Lonchura striata: one gene and its partner. The protein of the gene in region 2 interacts with the protein of the main gene of each other region in a pairwise test. Links are inferred from orthologs where the notes say so. Each region holds a gene or a part of one and is shown on either strand. Other genes may lie near its edges.

Region 1 (11,058 bases), on a different chromosome or scaffold from region 2:
TGGCCAAGGAGCTTTGCCCATGCCATGGTACAGGGCTGAGGCCCTGAGCTGATGCCCCCACCCCACAGGCATAGCAGTGAACGGCCTAATTTGCCTCACTTGGCCCCCACCATCCGCCCACTCCCCACATGTGGGGCCAGGGCTCTATTTAAGGTCATCCCAAGTACCCCAACCTAGTCCCCTCCCTTCTGTGCTTGAGGTGCTGGTTTCCAGCTGCAGCATTGCTCAGCTTAGCCACGGAGCTGCCAGTCCAGACCCTGACACCCAGCTTCACCTGAGACCTACCTCCTCTCCATGGATGTGCTGGATAACCTGCACTTGTGAAAACCCTGCCACCCTTCCCAGCCTGTTCTGTTCCCAGCCTGACAGTTCTGTCACGCACGCAGCTCCTTGGGGCACAGCTGGCCCATGCAGTGCCTGGCACACGTCTCCCAGCTCTCCAGGGACAGTTTGCTCTTCCCTTTCCACCCCCAGCCCAGCAGCACCATGCCAGCCCTCAGCTCTTGGGGAGCCCCTGCACCCCAGGAGCAGAACCTTGCCCTGAATCACTTGGAGCCTCTCCACACACAAAACGAGGACACTGAGGGTGTGAGCAAGGCTGGAAATGTGAGGTGTTTAATGTGGTGTGAGCTGAATGAGGGGGTCAGCATGCTGGCCCATGCTGCTGCTGCATCTACACAAACAGGAGGCCTGGTCAGCAGATAACCTAAGGGAAGAGGAAGTGGTTGAGGCCAGAGGCCCCACACCCAGGGCTGCTGGTGGGGAGAGAGCCCTTCCTGAGCAGAGGCTGCAGTGAGCAGCAACAGAATCTGCAGAGGGAACTGATGAAACTCACTCCCCACAGGGGGACCCAGCCCCCCACTGCAACACCTGCACCAGGGAAGGAAGGAGGCCCTTAGTGGTTTATTGCCTTTCTGGATGGTGCTGAGCACCTTCTGCCCATTCCAGCCAGGGAGCACAGCCAGGAGCCAGGAGGTGAAAATGGCACAGTGCAGGTGTCTGCGCTGCCTCGCACCAGGGCACCAGCGGCCACACTGTCCTGCTGTGCCAGCTCAGCCAGAGCTGTGACAGGCTGAGCCTGGCAAACCCAGGTCTGGAGCAGAGAGAAGGGGTGAGCTCCCTGCCCACCCCAGGTGAGCAGCTGCTTCCTGGTCACCAACGTGGCAGGGGCTTACAATTGCTCCGTCTTCCAGGTGTGTGTGGTTAGCCTTGAGGTGCTGGAGTGAGGGAATTCACACACTGGTGCAGCTGCTGGGGTAGTGGCACTAGGGTGACTAACAGCATAATGGGGGTGGCACTCCTGGGATGAGAGGGACAGGGGCTCCTCAGCCACCTGGCCTGGCACAGGAGTGGGAGGGCCCGGTGCTCAGGGGTCCCCACTGTACTTGATGAGGTGGCCACTGAAGGTGATGTAGGTGTCGTACTCATCGCTGAAGATGGCGTTCTCACGCTCACCCTTGTAGAGCCGTACCCAGACCTCATCTTGCTCCTTCAGCTCCAGCATGACGCTCTGGCTCTGCATGATGCTGCGGTCGCTCACCTGGGTGTAGAGGATCACCACCTCTGCCCCATTGTGCATGACATGCAGGTATGTCTCCTTCTGGTTCCAGGTGTGCACGTTGAGGCTGAAGTAGTAGATTCCAGGGATGTAGCAGTAAAACTTGCCCGTGAACATGTTGAAGTGCTCGTAGAGGTTGACAAACTCCGTGTCAAAGATGAGGGTCTGGTAGTAGTCGTTACTGTGCAGGGGTTTCTTGCGGCCCACGGAGAAGGCAGCGTAGTGGCTCTTGCAGCGCTCCCCAGGGGCGCCCATGCTGCCCTTCTGTCCCTTGGGCCCTGCGTGGCCCCTGCTGCCAGCCACCCCCGTCTTGCCGAACTTGCCCTGCATGCCACGCTCACCGCGGTCCCCCTTCTCTCCTGGGTGGAGCAGGAGGGAGAGTTGGGCTGTCAGGCAGGGGCCACAGCTGAACCCGGCACCCCAAAAGCCCCTTCCCCAGAGGGGGATGGAAGGAGCAGGGACCTACCAGTCCTGCCCCTGCCCCTCCCGAGGCTCTGATGCTGCTGCCTAGAAGCCACCACAACAGGGGCTGCTCACACCAAAGTGTGGCTCCTGCCCTGTCTGTGCAGGACACAGAACCACTGGCACCACCCCAGTTTCTCATTCCCAGTCTGTGCAGGAGCTGGCACTGTGAGCCCAGCTCAGCACTGGACCTGGGGCAATGCTGGCAACACAGCCTGGGGTCCTGCCAGCCCTCACCTTTCAGGATGGTCATGTTGATCTGAGGCACAGGCTGGTAGTGGGGGTAGAAGCGCTTTTCGGGTGGGGGGCAGCAGCGGACACAGCGGGGCTGTGGGGGCAGCCCCTCCTGGGCATCATCAACCTTCTGCTCCTGTGTGGCCCTGGCAAGGCAGAAAGCAAAGTGCAACAGGCAGCTATGGGGGTTGGGACCCCTCTCCAGTGCCAGGGCTGCCCTGGCCCCGGCTGCAGAGCACCCTGGCTCTGGGGTCCCCTCACCTGGCAGCTTGGTGCTGGGATGGGGCCTCATTGGGGTCTGTCCACCATCGCTGGGCAGGGATGGAGCTGGTCTGGCTCCCCACAGGGCAGGGCAGCAGGAAGATCAGCAGGAAGATCAGCAGGACACCTTGCACCCACAGCCCCTCCATGCCTTGGCAGTGCCCTGTGAGGTGCCAGGGACAGCTGAGTGGGACAGGAATGAGGAGACTCCCAGCCCAGCCATGCCCCAAGCTGTCCTGGGACAGGACCTGTGCACTGCACAACCCCTGGGGTCTGGCTGGGCTATGGAACAGTGTCACCCCAGTGAGCACCGGTGGAGACCCACATTGAGGCAGTTAGGGGGCTCTGGCCTCACCAACATGTGCAGCCCCTGAGCCCTGGCACATACGGCAGATGGGATTACCTCAGGAGCTGAGAGTGGAGCAGAGCAGCAGACTCTGAGCGGGCCAAGTCCTGGACCAAGTGCTGCTGCTCCTGCTCAGCCTGGTTTCAGCTGCCTCCCATAGACACCCAAGAACAGCAATTTAGGATGTCAGCACCTAAAAAGTTACAGAGAGCTCCAGATGCCATGGGGCAAATGTCAGGGTGCAGCCCGACCTGTGTGTGGGACCCCAGCCGGGCCCAGAGAGGGCAGCTGCACCCCACTCCTGTGAGGGGCTCCTGTGCCCTGGGGGCTGCCAGCCCAAGGGTTTGCAAGGGGGCAACACCCACTGTTCCAGAAAGAGGGACGTGGGCTGGCAGCCCTATCTGGGAGCTGGCTGAAACCTTCCCAAAAGCCCACACCCTGTATGGGGCCAAAACTAATATTTGCAGTGGTGGTGGCACTGTGGCCCAGCCCGGGGACTTCACGACCCCTCCCTCTATTATCAGGACCGTATCTGCTGGAGACGTGGGGCCGGGCACGCAGCACCTCGCCCTTTGGCCCGGTGGCACCGGGACAGCCTTGGCCAAACAGGGGTGTAGCACTGCCCAGCGCTGGGCATCCCGCGGCAGCAGGCTCCGAGCCGGGACGGGGACGGCCGCTGTCCCCGCTGCTATCGCAGCCAGGTGCCTCCCTGGCTTGGGCCGTGGGTGTGACCTCGGCCCTCGTCCCGCCCGGCTGTACTCCACGGGCTCCGCCGCGACCCCGGAGCGCCGGTCCCAAGGGCAAAGCGCCCTCTCAACCCTGTCCTGTGTTTTGCGGCTGAGCCGGGCCATGGCGGATTCTGGGGCAGAACCCCGTGGTTTTGGTGAGCGCCTGCTCTCAGAGCACCGGGGTCTCCAGTCGGTGGCTGTCCCACTGTCCCGGGGTGCGGGGTCCGAGGGACCGCGTGCGCTCCGCAGCGGGTGCGGAGGGCGTCTGAGGCCGGGGCCGGATGCCTGGATTATGAGTCACTGGAGCTGTGAAGGGGCGGAGGGATTGGAAAAGACTCCAAAGGGCTTTTCCTGCTGCTCAAACCCTCTGCCAAGGGCCTGGCCCCGGCATACATTTCCCGGTGTCTCTGTCTCTCATCCCGTTGCCTCGGTGCTGCCAGGTTGGAGGAGGCAGGGGAGAAGTGGATCCACGGACAGGGCGTGGAGGAGGCCAGCCAGGGCCTTGTGGGCAGCCTTGGCCCTGGCTCTGCTCAGCCTGCCGGGCCTCCAGCTGCGCCGGACGCACAGCACTGAGCACGGCACGGGCGTGCCGAGGTTTGGGAAGCCTGTGGCTTTCCCTCAGCTCTGGGACCGTCACGCCAGGCATTCCTCTGGGACCTGGAGCAGGCTTGGCCCTGGGGAAAACGCAGTGTCACAGGGAGCTGCTCCACAAGGAGAAACCCTTCACCAGGAAGTTCCCATGGTGGAAGGCAGCGCTTCCCAGGCTGTTGGGAGCAGAGGCGAGTGTGCGGTGCGTGCAGGCTGCTGTCAGCAGCACACGGGGTTTGCTGGGTCCCCAGCATGCCCCCACTGTACCTTGCAGGCGTGCTGGGCAGGAGGTGCCCACCTGCACACAGGTGTACACAGCCCTGCCAGGGATATGCATTTTCCCTCAGGGCTGGCTGCTCTCCAGGAGCAAGATTTAAACATAGTGGCTGCAGAAGCCTTGGGACTGCAAGTCAAAACATCCCAAAATACTTTCCAGCTGGAGATGAAGACTAGGATGAAAGTGAACAAATCCTAGGGAAGGGATGAGGGGCTTGGGGCAGTGTGGAGGCAGCAGTACCTGCAATCGTCTTTGTTTAGGGTGGTGGACACAAACTTCCCTGCACCACAGCAGCCAGAACCATTGTGCCTCTGGGGTCCAGCTGGTGGGCCAGGTCCCCTGTGTGCTGCTGCTGATGTTGGAATGGTTACAGAGCCCTTTTTCCCCTGGAGCAGGGCAGAGCCAGCAGGCAGCAGGGTGTGGGTTGCATGGGGCAGATGTGGGGAAGGAGCCCGGGGTAGTTGCAGCCCTCCAACTTCTGTAGCACCAGCAAGATGTTGTGCTGGGGACCCCAACAGCTACTGTGACCCCCAAAGAGATACCGAAGGTAGCCCAGCGTGGGCTTGATGTGGTCGTAGCCATGAGTTTTTTGGGAACGCAGCTGGGGCAGGGCTGGGGGGGATCTGTGTCCTCCCAGAGCTGCGGTGGGTCGGGCTGTGCCCCAGACTACTGTAAGGCTCAGCCATGTGGTCCCCACTGCTCCTTCGCAGGCAGGACAGCGGCCTGGCTCGGCTGGGGGGGCTCAGGGACCGACCCGCCTGGCTGGGCTTTTGCAAGGACACCCGAGCGCTTGGCGAAGCGGACCCGCCTCCCGGTACCTCGGCACCGCCCGCAGACGGGAGCACGGCCCCTGCAGCTCCGGGGGCGAGCGTCAGGTCTCCCGCAGCTGCCCCCCACCTACCTCTGGGGCACGGCTTCTCCCTCGCGGCGCTGCCTTTGCTGCCCTAGAGCATCGCCCGGCCCAGCGCAGAGCCTGCCCACGGCCGAGCGCTGCCTCCCGTTCCAGAGCCGCCTCTCCCCGCTTGGCCCGGGCGGAAATACACTTTTTGGAAGCGCAGGAGGCAGCGAGGCGCGGGACGAGGCTCGCAGCCCTCCCCCGCCAGATGTGCGCCCGCGGCTGCCTTAACCGTTCATAACATTAACCATGCGTGTTCCCGGTACCGGCCGCCTCAGCCACCTGGGGCCGCCGCACCGGGAGCGGAGGCGGCACGTGCCAGCCGGAGGGTGCAGCTCGCCCCGGCGCAGGACCCTGCCCTGTGCCGGCGGCGCCGAGGCCGTTCTCAGCCCCGAGGGCACCGCGGCCAGCACGGCCCCACCGGTCTCCAGCCTTTGACAGCCGGACACGTACATGGGTCCCAAGGCGCGGGGCTGGGTCTACCCCGCTCCCCACCCCGACTAGCGGCGGGACACAAGGGGCAACCAGGACAAGGACAGAGTTATGTTGCGAGCTGGAGCAGGGCAGCGCGGGGGTGATGCCCGCCGGGCAGCCGGGCTGTGCCCACCCCGCAGAGCCGGCTCGGCCCCCGCACTGCCCCCGCCGCTGGGCTCCAGCCGCCCGTGCGGTGCGCCCGGCTCCGGCGGGCCGTGCTCGGCACGGACCACAGCTCCCGGCAGGCCCCGCGGAGCAGCGGGCGGGGCGGTGGGAGGTGGTGGCTCTCGGGGTCTCCTGGGAGTTGTAGTTTCTCCGCCAGACGGGGCGGTCTGGCCGCTGCCAGGCGCGGCGGCGGCGCGCGGGGCCGCCGGGAACTGTAGGCGGTGGCGGCGGCGGCTGCGCGCGGGGGAGGCGGTGGCGCGGTGAGCGGGGACACGGGCGGGGGCGCGGGGCGCGGGGCCGGCAGGCGGGGGTCCGCACCGGACGGGGGCACCGCGGACCTCGAGCAGCCTGCCCGGGCGGCAGTGGTGGGCTCCTCGGGACTACGCCCCGCGCGGAGGTCCCGGGGGCGCGGGGGAGCTCAGGGCCGCGCTCAGTGCGGGCGGTGCCCCAGCTGCCCGTCAGCTCGGCCGGGGAGGGGGCGCGAGGGTCCCCAAGGGGGCGAGGAGTCCCCGTGTCCCTGCCCGGAGGTCCCCGTGACCGTGCCCCGGCATTTTGAGGGTTCGCCGTGGCCGTGCTCAGACCGGGCTACAAACACGGGGGGGGTGTCAGTGCACCGAGAGGGGTCCCCGGGGCTCTGCCGAGGCCCACGCTCCGGGGTGCCGCAGGACGAGAAGCGCTCCCGTGCCCCCAGCGTGGGCTCCGTGCCTGTGCCGCAGCTCCCCTGTCCGGGGCCGGCCCCCCACGTTCAATGCCGCCTCTGTTTGCCACTCTGGCTGATGAAAGGCAGATTGAGACCCTGCGGGATGGGCCCTTTGTGGAAAGCCCTGGGATGGCAGCTGGGGATCTCTGCCCCGGGATGGGGGTCTCTGCACCGGGCAGCATGGCACGGGCTGAGCACGGGTCCAGTGATGGCTGCTTGCCGGCGGGGCAGCTCGGAGTGCCCGTCTGCGGGAGCCCGGGGCGCTGCCACGTCCTCTGTGCTGCAGGGAGGGAGGTGGCACCGAAGGGCACTGCTGGCACCCCGGGCCCGCGGGTGGGCACAGCCCGGGGTGGGCTCACGATGTTCACACGTGGAGGACACGCTGTGAGCCTGGGCAGGGTGAGGGGGTCCCGTGTCTGTGAGGCTGGGCAGGTCAGGATGTGTGTCCCTTGGGCACTGCACTTCCTGCTCAGGTGTTGGCATCCTGCTTGGGCGGAGCTGCCACGTGTCTCTCAAGTGTCCCTGTGTGGCTTGGGGACAAGCTCAAGGCTCATCAGTGGGGTCGGTTCTCAGGGCCATGGGAGCTGGGCCAGGCTGCTCAACCACTCTGGAGGCAGCAAGGGTCATCCTTGCCTGAGGGGAACCCACTTCCTCCGAGGAGCCTGTGGGGACGTGGACACAGTGACATGAGGCTTGCCTTGAGCCGGGTGCCTCAGCTCGCTGCCTGAGCTGCAGTGACCATGGCACATGTAGAAGTGCTGAGCAGGTCATGCAATCCTGCCAAGACGCTGGGGCTCCTGGTCAGGGGGCGCAGAGGGAGCCAGGTGAGAAGAGCTGAGGGTAGTTCCAGCAGCAAACAGCCCCTGTGTATGGTGGCTCGTACCTGCATGGGGTGGGAGCACCTTCTGCAGCAGAAGAGGGGATGGGGCTCCTCATGGCTGTGTTCTGTTGTTCCCCCAGCTCAGTCAGCACCAAATCAGCTCTTCTCTCTCCCCTCTTTCTAGCAGGTTCTCCTCGCCCCCTGTCTGATGCCAGTCCCGCCCTGCCATGAGTCTATGAGCCCCCTCCGGATCAGCGTGGGTGGTCTGCCTGTCCTCGCGTCCATGACCAAGGGTGCTGACCCCCGCTTCCGACCGCGCTGGAAGGCCATCGTGCTGTCCTCAGCCTGCGTGGGGCTTGTGCTGTTCCTCCTCTGCCTGCACCGTTCCTCCCCAGCACGGCATGGCCCCCCCAGCCCTCGCACCTGGCAGCTTGGCCTGCAGGCAGGGGACCGCTACAATGACACCTACCCGCTGTCCCCTCCGCAGAGAAACCCCGAGGGCGTGCGCTACCGCATCGGCGTCATTGCAGACCTGGACACGCAGTCCCGGGGCTCTCAGGAGCACACCTGGTTCAGTTACCTGAAGAAGGGCTACCTGGTACTGTCAGACAGTGGGGACAGAGTGATGGTGGAGTGGGACAAGGATGAGAGCATGCTGCAGTCCCACCTGGCTGAGAAGGGCCGGGGCATGGAGCTCTCAGAGCTTGTGGTTTTCAATGGGAAGCTGTACGCAGTGGATGACCGGACAGGTGTGGTCTACCAGATCGAGGGCAATAAGGTGGTGCCTTGGGTGATCCTCCCAGATGGGGACGGCACTGTGGGCAAAGGTGAGCTCCCATTCTGCCCTGTGAAGCCCTTGGCTCTTTTCACCTGCTGGGGTGGGGCACACCTTTCCTGTGACCTCTGAGCCTGGCCAAGAGAGGGCATTTCCTGCCAAGCAACCAGCTGGCTATGTGGGGGACACTGTGCCCGGCACTGGGCTCAGGGGTGTGGGGTTTGAGGCATGTGGGACAGTCTGATGGTTACGTGCTGACTGAGCCACCTCATGCCATTCTTTCCACCACAGGCTTCAAGGCAGAGTGGCTGGCAGTGAAGGATGAGCACCTGTATGTAGGAGGACTGGGCAAGGAGTGGACCACCACCACAGGGGAAGTGGTGAATGAGAACCCCCAGTGGGTGAAGGTCATTGGCTACAAGGGTGATGTGAGCCACGAGAACTGGGTGACAAACTACAACACACTGAGGGCTGCAGCGGGGATCCGGCCCCCAGGTATGGAGTAGGGCAACCTCCTGCCACCCAATATCCCACACTCTTGATGGCTCCAGAGCCATACAGTCACCCTTCCCAGGGATGCTGGCACTGGGTGAGATTTAGAGGCTGCCAGAGGCCAGAGATCTCACCTTGTCGTGGTCGTTTTCCTCTGCTGCCTGTGCCAGGAGTATCTGAAGGGTGGCTCAGTTGTCATTGGGCCTGGCAGCTGGGCTCCCAGGCAGACTGGGATGTGCTGTGTGGCCCTGCCTGACTCTGGGAGGAACTGGGGAGCTGCTGCCAGGCAGTGGGGCAGGAGCAGGCAAAAAAGTTCATAGGGGATACCTGTGCGGGGCTGTGGGGTGTTTTGGAAGGGAAGGAGGAGAGGAGGGGGAGGGTCCCATCCTGGCGTGGCTGTGCCCCTGTGGTCTGTGTGGTCAGACTCCGCTTCCTGCCGCAGGGTACCTGATCCACGAGTCGGCCTCCTGGAGTGACACGTTGCAGCGCTGGTTCTTCCTGCCGCGCCGCGCCAGCCACGAGCGCTACAGCGAGAAGGCGGACGAGCAGCGAGGCACCAACCTGCTGCTCAGCTCCACCCAGGATTTCGGGGATGTGACAGTGGGGCGCGTGGGCGATGTGGTTCCCACCCATGGCTTCTCCTCCTTCAAGTTCATCCCGGACACGGACGACCAGATCATCGTGGCACTAAAATCTGAAGAGGACAATGGCAAGATCTCCAGCTACATCATGGCCTTCACACTGGATGGGCGCTTCCTCCTGCCTGAGACCAGGATTGGGAGCGTGAAGTACGAGGGCATTGAGTTTATTTAACAGACATCTGCAGCGAGTGGAGGCATGCGGGCAGCTTAGGGACATGGGCAGGCCCTGCAAGCCTGCTTCTAGCCCGGGGTCCATGAGGGATGTCAGGCAGTGCTCCCAGCTGTGTCCTTGGCCCTGGGCTCTCCTGTAAAGTGTTGACTGAGCTGCAGCAGGTGTGGTGCAAGTGTTTCGGCAGTGGCACCTGGTGGCAATGGACCGCCACCACAGGGTGCTCCCGGCCCCGAGACAGTGTCAGGTCCTGGAGTGCTGGTGCCTAGACAGGCCCCACTGCAGCCCTTAGTGCCCTGCCCTGAATTGCGACAGAGCCATCTGCAGTGGGTCGGTGGCTCTGGTGACGTCCCTGTTCTGGGATTGCAGCTGAGCCCCAACTCTACAGCTGTGCCTTGTGTGCCATGGGGCTCCCTGGGTGGAGGGGGATGTGCAGCCTGAGCAGGTCAGATTGTGGGGATTTCATCAGGCTTTTACTTCAGAAGCTGGATTTCCTTCCCTTTTCCCATAAGCTGGATGAGGTGATGGCTGGGGTGGCGGGTGGCCTGTTTCAGAGAAAAGTCCTGCATGGGAGGGGGTATTGTCTGTGTCCCTTTGCTCCTGTGACCACGGAGGAGGCAGCAGTTCCCTCACCACTGTGGCTGTGCCTAAGGGGCAGGGGATGATGTAAAGTGGGCCCACCCTGGCGCCATTCCCAGACCACACCCTCAAGAGGTGTGTGTGCGTGCTGGCTGTCTTCTCCGAGGCCTGGCTGCACGTGGCTCCAGCCCCAGAAATGCTTCCCGCCCCGGAACTGTCAGCTCTGGGAAGAGCTGAGCCCTGGGCAGGAACTGCTGGGAGCTGGCGACAGTGCAGCCATGCTGTCCAAGGGCTGCTGTGCTCGATGCAGGAGCAGAGGCAGGAGCTGCAGTTCTGCTTGCCAGAGCTGGCAGCAGCTGAGAAGCACTCGCAGCAGCCCAGGGCTTTGGCCAGGGAGCCCTCCCCATGCTCGCCAGCATGTTGTGAAATTGCTGCCGTAGCCTGTGGCCCCCAGGAGGAACTTGTGTTGTTTCAGAAGCCACAAGTGTCAAAGGGGCATCTGCTAGCCCCAGGACCCTTCTGACCCCTCTGACCAAGGAGGCTGTGGCTCCTGGCCTGCCCACACTGACCTGGCTCAGGTCTGCCCTGCCCCAGGTCACAGGGCAGCATATCCTCACACCAGGACCAGTGTTTGGCTCTGTTGTGTCCCCACTTTGTTTCTTTTTAACACTGCCCCTAGGGCAGGTCTGCCAGCAAGTAGGGCTTCAGAGAGCTGGCCACTATGGTTTGGGGGGCCCTTGTGCCCCCTGTATCGCTCTGCCATGCCCGGGCACTGCTCTGCTGTGGGGTCCAGCCATGCACAGGGAGGGAGAGGGGCTGTCGGTGCAGCAGTCAGGCTGTGGTTGGGTGGAGGAATCCGCAGAGTGGTTGGGGCCCTCCCAAGAACCCAGCCAG
Region 2 (10,752 bases):
AAAATATAAAGAGACTGGAAAAGAAGAGGGACTACTACCAAGCACTGAAGTGAAGGACTAACTCTCAGGTAAAATCCATCAATTTTCATCGCTGAAGTAGGAGAAATGGGAAAAAATGTTAAAAAAATGAGAAATGTTAAAAAAAGAGTGAGGAGGAGAAATATGTGGAGCATAGTGAGGCATGTTGAGACAGTAATGGGGAGAAGGGCAGGGAACTTTAATTTAGAGACCAATCCCAGCCTGTTTCTTTATGCACCAGTGCTGCATACCAAGTACTCTTGAGGATTTGAAAAAGCTAGCCTTTCCTTATGGACTTGTCACGCCAAAGCTTGGATTCTCTGTTACAATTAGAAAACAAAGTGACAGGCAAGCTGCTGTCTTTCCATAGATCTCTGGAAGAGGTTCAGAGGATGGGGTGAACCATACTCAGGGGAAAGAAGTGTTCACAGGGTTGCCAGTAGCAGCACTGCTTGGTACATCAGCTTACACAGAAAGTGCCCTCATGAAAGAGAAGAAATGGTAGATTGGCAGATGTTGTGATGTTGAGCATATGAAGATTAGAGCAGATGTAGTATTTAAGACTCTGTAGTATGTGGCTACAGATCATCACCAGAACATGAAGAGAAAAAAATCACTGGATTTCCACAAGCAGATGTTAATGCACCAAAGCTGGCTTCTTCTTAATGATTTGCCTTTTTGTTTGTTTGTTTTGATGAGTACAGCAAGTATGTTATTATGTGACTGTGGTAAAGAGCAGTGGTCTCTAATGATCACAACAGATTAATCCTTACGAAAGCTCTGTGAGTAGTAGCATTATTATTAATGCTGGCAAAAGTACTTAAAGGCAAAGTATGAATAAATGCAAGGTGTTCACATTAGCATTCTGTATGTTTGATAATGAACAGCCCCATGGACGTGCATTTGCTCTCACCATCTCCTCTGGAGCCTGCCACAGATGAAGAATGGGCAAAGTGTTGCACTGATCCTGAAGATGATTCTTGACTTTTAGGAAATGTCGTCCTACATCCTGTTGTAGCTTTGTTGTGGTTGTTGATATTGCTGGTTTCCTTTATTTCTGTAGTAGGAAGTCTGGGGGATTTGAAGCGTGTCTAAAATGCTTCTATTCATTTGTATCTTAGTGGACTTTGACTGTAATATGCAAAATAGCTTTATATAAAACAAATTACAAAAGTACATATAATTACAGAATATATATATATATGTATGTATATATAAATATATATATAATTACAAATAACCAAAAAGCTGTCACTCTACATTAAAAAAAACGAAAAGGAAGATGTTTAAAAAAAGGGGAAAATTAAATATTCCTGGCAGCTTCCCTGCAGCAGATCCACTATGCAGAAACCATGTAAAAATACTGACTTCCTCTCCCTCTATCATTATTCTCTTTCTCTACATTTATGATTTTTTTTAACTGTTTGATAATTTCTTTCTCATTCCTAACACAAGTTTCCTGAAAGTCTTGTTACTGGGTTGAGGGTAAAATCAGATTCAGAAGAAAGTTTCTATTTAGTGACTGGGCATGTGGAACTTCCCAGTAGCCTGTGAAACTTGGTGCTCCTGCTTCTTGGGCAGAGCTGTGCTTGGAGCAGCCACAGGAGGTGGTGCCCCACTCCTGAATCGCTAGATTTTTCCCCTGAAGGAAGAACCAGAAGCATCTCCTTGAAGCCTTACAGGTGGGGCAGCATCCTGCCAGTCAGCACCAGCTGTTAGCCAGTCACCCCTCCAGGCAGTGGCATCCTGAACACTTCAAGCTGCCTTGACTTGGTCACTTAATTGGATGGAGGGACAGGTTGAATTTTGCCCTCAGCTTCCTGAGCTTGTCTGCACAAGTCACTCCACTGTCCTTGTCCCTGCTGTGCATCCCCAAGTTCTATCTTTAAAGTGAGATAAAATGAGCTGCCAAGGTTTTGGGTGACTTGTCCAGGGTACCTTGATGGGTCATTTGGTCAAGCAAGGTGGGAGCAGATGTTGTTTTGTCAGCACAGATGCTGCCCTGGACAGAATGGTGTGTTCCTCAGCTCCTTGTCTCTTGGGAAAAGTCATCTGTGAATGTGCAAGAAACATGCTGGACCTTATGAACAACAACTGGAAAAGAGACAAGGGATACTGCTGTTTTATTTATTTACTCATGTGCTCCCAAAGTGGCAGTGTGGCCAGAAGCACTAATGGGGCTTTTTGAATATGGGTTCAGGAAATGCTCCTGGGGTTTCAGTCTAGGGCAAAGATGTCATTGGTGTGAGAGAAATTTTGGTCTGGGAATGAAGGTGTGTGTGTGTCCAGAAGGACTCTGACCAAGCTGTTCAGCATTTGAAGAGAGGGATGAAGGGAACCTGAAGATTATAAGCATTTCCCTGGAAAATAAAACCCTCAGGCCTTGACACACATCCTGTGGCATATAGCAGGCTGTTAACTAGGTGTTAAACTACTGAGTTTTATAGTGCATTCTTCATCACTGAGAGTTTTTGAAACCACAAGTTGATTTGTTAGTAAATGTAACTAAAATGGATGTGTTTAGTTCAAACTGGCATTCATTCAGGGAAGCCTTCTCACCTGTGTAGTAAGGCATATCAAATTGGATACTTGTGCTAGTCCTTTTGATTTATGAATTTATTAACATTTTTTTCAAATAGTGTGTTCACTGAATATATTTCACAGACTGGAAAAGATGTTCTGTGTGATTGTAAAACTTGTTGTGGTCAGCAGTTTGTAGTAATTTTTGAACAGGAATGCATTTTCCTGCAAAGTACAACTAACTTCCACCCCCTCCTCTTCGCCTCCACCCTGGCTTGTGAGTTGGTTCCAGTTTCAAATACTTAATCATGGGAATTTTTGGTGTTTTATATTCTGGATAGAATTCAGAGATTGCAAACTTTCTGTGATCCACTTTATTGCAGCAAGATTCTTTCCAGAAACATTATACTGTGTGTTGCTGTTTTGTGACTGGGGCATGTGGTAAATCTACTTCAAGAATGAGTCAGTGCCAGATTTCTATGTTGTCATGCATATAGACCAAAATAAGAAACATCTGTCCTTTTTTATTTAATTAATTGAAAAGAAATATATAAGTACAAACTATTATAGGTAATACAAGGTGATGCACAAGTGAAATAAAAAGAGCCACTTGGAAGCGTAGTCTGGAGTTTATTTTTAAAAAAGTAAATCACTAAATATTATTTACTAATAATTAATCTTGACATTTAATATTCTGCATCTCTCTAGGGGTCACCACTATTTGTCCTGTGATGATGACCTGTGTCTATGTGGAATGCTATTATCATCTTTCAGGGTCTGAAATCAATTGCAATTTTTCACCTCTGTTGAAGCTTGCTGTTGTGTTTTTACATATTGACTCCAATTCCATATTTTAGAAATTATTTTTTCTTTCAAAATGTTTTATTGCTGTGCTGTTCTTTGGGTCCTTCTTTAGAGGGACACATCCTTCCCTTCTGTTCACATTTTTCATGCAGAGCAGATTCAGCATAACTGTATGGAAACCTGTTCCTGGCCCTGAAAGCTAAAATTGGAAGTATACTTCTCGTAGGTTAGTGTAAATAAAACCCAATTAATTTTGCTTTAATAACTGCAGGCAGGATGAACCTTAGCTCAATACAAATTTTTCTATAAGCTCACAGGCAGTCCTCTCAATAAAGACAACAAAATTACTGTCATATTTATCATGCTGGGGTGTTTCAGCTCCATGGGATAAACTTGGCAGTGTTCTTCTGAGTTCTTGGAAAGCAGCCCTATACATCTCAGTTTGCAGCATTCCAGCAGATCAGGAAAAAACTATCTCTCTTTTTTCACCCTTCATATTTCATATAGTGATAGTGCTTTCCCTGAGTGCTTGTTACAGTTATTTTTTTGGAAAACAACATGCATTTTTCTGTACAATGTTGGCCGATAACACAACAAGACTATACCAGTGCTCTTCCCTTAGATTAAAAAATCTCAGTCTAAACAAGATTGAGAGAGTAAGGGTTGAGTGAAATGTTTTAGTTCAGAATTTCTTCATGAACCTAGGCAGAATTTTAATATGTTTTGGAAAAAAGCAAATTATTTATTTTGGGGGAAGGCAGGTTATAATTGTAGAAGCCTCTGTATCACCTTTAAAATATCATAAATATAACTAATATATAACTAATATAACTAAAATATAACTAAAGATTTACATAATTTTTATATTTGGTTCAAAATGCTTTGCAAATTTGATCATAAATATTTCATGTTCCTGAATGAAATAATTTCTTTTGGTTTACAGAAAACTTTGAAAAATAACTATAGTTTTTTTTAGCAGAATTGTAACCACTCAGATATTCAGTCACATGTGTCGCTCCTTGCCCTCATATTTAGAGCCTTCTCAAAATTACAGGAAGGTGTAAAATAGCAAATATTTTAAAATTTTTTTTTTCACTTTTGTTTCTAATTTTTCCTGAGCAGTGTTTGTCCTGTCTGGTACTTGCTGCCATGTGACTTCTTGTGACAATTCTGCCTTTGTGTGTGCATCAGTAACTTAAATGTTGGACACAGTGCTTTGGACTTTCGTTAAGACCAAAAAGTAATATTACTGAAAAAGTATTAGTCAGATACAATAGATAATTTTCTTCAAATTTCTACTTTATATTTGTCCTGCTGTTCTTCTAATACCTCATTAGGCACTTTTGCTTGCTCATGGAGACGTGCATTTCACAAGCATTCACTTCCTTTGCTCTTACGGTAGTTTTAGTTGTTGGTGATCATGACAAATTGAAATCGAGCAGTTGTAGCAGTTTAGTGAAGATTCAACAAGACAGGAATGTCAAGAGTGCACTAGCTTGTTTTTAGGAGCACTATCAATGCTCCCTTTATCCTGTGGGAACAGTTGTGCCTTTGTTTTGGTGGTGCTGTTTTTTGGAAGATGAGTGAATAAGAGACCATTGATACTTTTCCCCCCACAAAATCTCATGTGTGTTCTTTGCCTGGCATGCTGCTCTCTGAAGTGTAAAACTAGTGTGTCACTTGATTTTCACATATTTAAAGACCTAAAAATGGGGGAGGAGCAGTGAGTACCAACTCTGCAGGTACTACTGGATTATTTTATCCTGAGACTCATAAAATGAGGCTATTCCCTGGCAAAACCACGGAGCACCAGTGCCGGGTTCCCAGGCCTCTAACAACTAGACACGTGTTGATGAAGGATGAGGTAATTTCCAGATGAAGGGTGGACAGTGCTGCAGGAGTAACGGGGCAGGACAGCTGTGGTGGGGATGGTCTCCTCACAGGTGGCTCCCACCGTTGGGCTCCGTAGGCGTCTGAGGTAGGTCCCGCAGAGGGAAGGAGCAGGGAAGGTGGAGGAAAACAATGCGTCACTACCAGTTCGCTCTGTGCGTACCTATTTTTTTCATTCAGTTCTCCCTTTGGTTGTAACAGGACAGACTTTGCATGACAGATGGCTTATTGTTTCTCTCCTATAAGCTGCTAAAAGATTTCTGAGCAGGAACTCACAGTGTTCCTTTGGGAAAGGCACTTTGCAAGATCTGGGCACTGTCTTAAGGGACTCGAGATCCAAATCACGTAGACCATGGGCAGAAAAAAAGTGGGGGGGGCTTAATATGTAGCATTCAAAAATACATTTGCTGCTTGTACTAGACCCTCTTTAGTCTGGGATTCAGAAAACATAATGATTTCCAGATATAGCCAGTATTAAAAAATACAATGTTTTGGTGTTAAAATGTTAGTTGAAACTAATGGAAAAATACTGAAAATATAATCTTCCTGTAGAAAAAATCAATCTAAATTTACATATTGATAAGAAGCACAGGACCTTTAGAAACATCCATAATGAACCTTATGCTTTTGTAGATGGTAGAGAATGTAAGCAAATTTAATCAATTCTTTTCTAGTATTTTTTAGTTATTACAAAAATTGTGTCTAAATATAAGTATATAATAGTTGTGGAAATAAAATATACAGAATATTTCAGCTTAGATACTCAAGGTCTATCTGGTCTATACCCACAACAGCGAGTGGCTAGACCTCTGGCCCTGTATTTTAGTGCTAGAGGCCCTAAAATACAGGGCCAGAGAAGGCACACTACATAAGGAATGGTTACTCAAAATCAGGGAATATGTTCTGTGTAAATTTCTTTCAGAATTCTCTATACCATAAAGTAAGACAAGAGCCTGGCTCTGGCTGTTTCAGTTTCACAATAATATTTTTATGGATGTGGTATCAATTTAAAGCTCATCCTGTGGCTTTAATTCATCACATGAAAGCTGACTAATCTTTATGTATATTTGTGGATATTTTAGCAAGCACAAAATAACATTATGCTTAATAACAACTTATTCCTTTATTTGTTTTGTTTAAAGATATCATGAATATTGAAGAGCAAGTTTGATTAACATTAAATTTGTTTGTGGTTCTCAGGAATATCCAGTATCTTACAGAATCATGGTAGAAAGTAGTGGAAGAATAACCAGGTGTAGACTTGCAGAAGTAAACAAACCTAAATTTTTTTACCTTACGACTAAAAGAAAATGTGTTATACCTCTGGCCTGTCATTCAAAAGTTTTGGTGATATTCCTAAAAATACAGAAAAAAAACATTCAAACCTGGCCCTGTAAGAAGACAAAAGGTTACAATTTAAAAAACTCAAAAAGTGCCACCAGAAAAAGACAACTTTTGAGCAGGCTGGTGTGAGGTGCTGAACAAATGCAGAGCTGGACCCCTAAGTGTTTAGAGCTGGATCATGTAAAAGGCTACAGACAACAAGCTACTTGTTTCCTCTCAGGAATCATGTGAAAGCTTTCAAACCTTCCACAGTAGGTGAGATCTTACCTCCCTCTAAGTTAGTGGGGCTTTATACTGACTCACCTAGGAGCAGGCTTACATTCTCATGATCTGATAAAAGTAATGCTGAATGAATTAAAAATCATGTTCTCAGAGATGTTCTGGCTCGGTGTTAGACCTTTGAGTGATGCAATATCTTTTCTGTTTTCCTGTGAAGATCCATTACTTGATAAACCTCATTATTAGTTTTGGGGTATTTTTGTTATTGTTTCTTTTTCTTTAATGATTCCCATGTCAACTTCCCCAGATTTGAATGACATAAGGAGCTCCCTTGGTGACCAAATTCCTGTTAACAGTTTAAATGTGTTCGGGGAAGGGAGGAGGATTTGCACTCAGCAAAGGATCTCCAGCTCACAAGCTCTTATTTTATTCTTTTTACTTGAAGCTTCATAACAAGGATGATTTATTTGCAAATGAGTTACTTTAATAATAGGTTTAGAGTTACATAGAATATAGACAATCTTGACCCCCATCTCTGCAGCTGTAAAAGTAACAGCATGGGTGTGGTTGCCTGGTGGCTGGCCAGGATGATCCAGTTCAAGGGGGTGGATAAAATAACATTTACACTTACAGTAACTGTTTAAAAATGTAATTTGAGTTCTGCCAAATCCTTCCAGTTCATTTTGGGAATCCAGCTTATTAAGGCTGCCAACACTCAATTCTTCACACCTTAGTTTCTTCCAAGTTGTCTCCTTCTGCCAGATGCATTTTGCTGCAATACTGTCACTGCAGAGCATGAGGTTCCTCCACCAGCCTTGCTGTGTACATGGTTCTGGTGGGACTCTCCTTGCTGTGAGCCTGCCCAAGCAAGAAGTGACTGAGCCTGGCCCGTGAGACTCAGCATGGAGGGAGGACGCAATCCCAGAGGAAGTGTTCCACTTACAGACAGCTCTGTTTGTGTCTGCTGCAGTAAATGCTCCCAAGACAAGTAGGGTCAGGCATTTGTTGGATCTTGAGAAAGCATGTGGTGGAGAAGATGGAGGCTTGGAAGCTGGAACTTGTCGGTCTGAGTTGGAATTTCAGAAGTGTTCCCAGGCAGTGTGGGCAATGGGAATCAGGCACCATGTCTAAACAACAGAATGAGGTCTTGAACACTTTGCAGACCCACAGCTGCTTAAAAAGGGGCAAGTGTTGTCTGAAATAGCCAGTTCGCTCCAAATGGACTAAGTGCTCACTCTCTCAGTGTTCCTGCTAAGGCAGCACTTGTTTGAGGACACAGGGTGATCCTGCACTGTGGCTGGCAAGGCTGTCACACATAGCTTTGCTGTGTCTAGTCCTTGCAGCTCTAACCTGCCTCACCACAGTGCTGAGCAGTTGTGAAGTGCTGCAGCACTCTGGAACAAAAAGTGGAAGGCAGCAGTTATGGATAGGAATAGCAATCACTTCCAGTGCCATACTGTGAGCTGTGCTTACTCGTGTAAACTGATGCATTATAGGGGTTTTTAGATAAGGAGCCCCAGCAGGGTGGTGCTTGGGCTGCTGCTGCTATTGCAAAGAAAATTGTTTCAGAGAGTTTGCAGTCTCTGCTGTTTCAAGGTCTATGTTCACAGCAAGTCAGTCCAACCCAGCATTTGGGAATACTCACAAAGCTCTTGCTAACACCAACCTGTCGCATGACAGCATCCATAACTAATGCAGAATGGTTCACAGATCTTAAGACCTTAGGGTCCACTGTCTGCCCCGTCTTTATTATACCATCATATTTCGTTCACTTTGGGTAAAATACGTGTTTTTCAAATCAGCATCTAGTCTTGAATATGAGAGAGGTGTAGAATCACCTCTTCAGTGACTTGTTCACATGGCAAATTATTGCATGAACTTGTTAAATCAATCTTTCTCCCTTGAATTTAGCAAAGTTCTTCAGGTTAAAAAGATGTGCTTTTTTTCAGATTAAAAAGCAGTCTTAGTACCTTTTCTTTGTGAAGGTATACACAGGTGCACATGGTCACCAAGTCAGCCTTGTTTTGTGTCTTGATCCTGCAGTGTTAAGATTTGTGTTCTTTTGTCCACTATCTTCTCTTATCCAACACAATTAGAACCCTTTGCTGATTTCAAACAAGTTTGAAAGAGTGTAGAAGTCTCAAAGAAACTTCTTGCAGGCTTGATGAAAAATTGGCCTGGGCAGAGGAGAGAGATTCAGACAAGGGAGACCTCATGTGCCATACACTATTTGGCAGCACATGGCCAGCCAGTCAGTGGGAAGGTATTTATAGGCCACCTGCAGTACACATTAGAGGAGTCAGAATAGACACCAAACTGGGAAGACTTTTCCTCAAGTTTTGTTTACATCAAGCCCATTTGCACTAAAAAATTATATGAATTTATGCATCAGGAAATGTGCTGTTCATAGAACATGTTCTCTTTATTTTTTTTATAAAACTTATTGGTTTTAACTTTTTAAGCTTTTCAGTAAATTCTATTTTCTTCTGCTCTCAAGTCCTCTGTGTCTTCTTGTCTTTCCCTTTTACTCTCTCCAGATTTTTCAAAACCTAAAGTATGTGTACCAGACTATATGACTATATGTACAAAACTGTTACTGATTTTAACAATGTCTTGTTCACAGACTTACTTTCTCCTTTCTTCAAAACTTTCCAGCTTTTCTTGCTGTAGCTTTGAAAGGTGAATGTTGCTTATGTGTCATGAACCCCAACTAGACCTTGTAGCTGATGATTTTTAATGTGGTGACTACCCAGTTCTGCAGACAGAGGCTGTTTCTGAAAGCATGGCCATTCTTGGCTCTGGACACAGTCTCTAGAATAATGTGAGGAGTTTTCCAGATCACTCTATTCAGCCGCTGTGGTATTCTCAGCAGGGCAAGAAGCCCTTAATCAAATTAGTTTTAGCTGATAATTATTTTTTCTTCTACTGAAGTAAAATACCATAGCGCTTTTGAATAGTGCCCAAAAAACTCTGAAATAGAAATGAACAAACTACATTGTCTCATATATGAGAGCTAAAAATTACATCACTGATGGAGTAAGACATCACTGAGGACAATATAATAATATTTTAGAATAAATCTGCTCATTTTCCATAATACACTGACTTTCAGTTAGTCTGCAACAAAAAAGTGGTGGCTTGCCTGAGGTCCTACATACATGGTGTCAGATGATCATCAGTGTCTTTAGAACCACTGCATATAGACTTTATGAACATATAACTCTGCATTTAATTTTATATTAAATTATTTTATTTATTACTATTTTTTATTTTAAATTTATTTTATTTTTATATTTTCCTTACCAGGAGAATATTCTTAACAAGTTCATTGAAAGCCATTGGATACTCCTTTTTGAATTTCCTTTAAAAGTTTTGAAACTCTGCATTTTCTATAGGAAACTCAATGTTGGTTTTTAAAGGAAAATCACTATAAAAATCTTCAACACCTTTAAATAAGGTGTGGATATTTCTTTTTCTCTCCACAAGCTTCTATTAAAAATTTCACCAAATTAAAGTGATTCAAACACTGAAATTTCCATTCAGTATCAGCACAGAAATTATAGAATTATGCAGCCAAAAATCTGGAAGATATTAACATAAACTGTACCCCAATCCTCAGCATATTTAAATCAGATTAATCAGGAGGAAACAAGAGACTATAAAATTGTTTAGACATTCAAATAAGTGAAAACCAATTTTAGGAAAGTTTTCTATCTTCATTCACTAAACAAATTCAATCAACAAGATGTGCTTAAGGTATCAATTGAAGCAAGCATCTAGGAGTATATTGTTTTAATTAGGAGATGGCAGTTTCAAATGCTACTTTTGAATCCAATCCAATGCTTTCAATGTACACAGACTGTTTCCAAAACACACTTTTAAATATTAGAGCTTCAGCTCTGGTTTTAAGAACTGCAGTTTGATGAGCTGTTCTGGTCTGGGGCTAGTAAACAAGTC

What was found.
Region 1: the proteins of LNX1 (region 2) and C1QTNF1 interact in a two-hybrid assay, tested with the Homo sapiens proteins (2 studies listed by BioGRID and IntAct). The two-hybrid records come from large-scale screens. The link is inferred for Lonchura striata from reciprocal best matches to the Homo sapiens genes LNX1 and C1QTNF1.

The regions. Positions count from the first base shown.
Region 1 is NC_134621.1:11,739,612-11,750,669, forward strand, and holds C1QTNF1 (complement C1q tumor necrosis factor-related protein 1), read right to left. Parts: upstream 5,469-11,058; 5' UTR 5,356-5,468; intron 2,679-5,355; 5' UTR 2,665-2,678; coding exon 2,516-2,664; intron 2,401-2,515; coding exon 2,258-2,400; intron 1,918-2,257; coding exon 1,367-1,917; 3' UTR 1,206-1,366; downstream 1-1,205. Other genes in the region: CANT1 (soluble calcium-activated nucleotidase 1), read left to right, coding at 7,717-8,335, 8,575-8,778, 9,218-9,588.
Region 2 is NC_134606.1:26,797,203-26,807,954, reverse strand, and holds the start of LNX1 (E3 ubiquitin-protein ligase LNX), read left to right. Parts: upstream 1-5,223; 5' UTR 5,224-5,320; intron 5,321-10,752.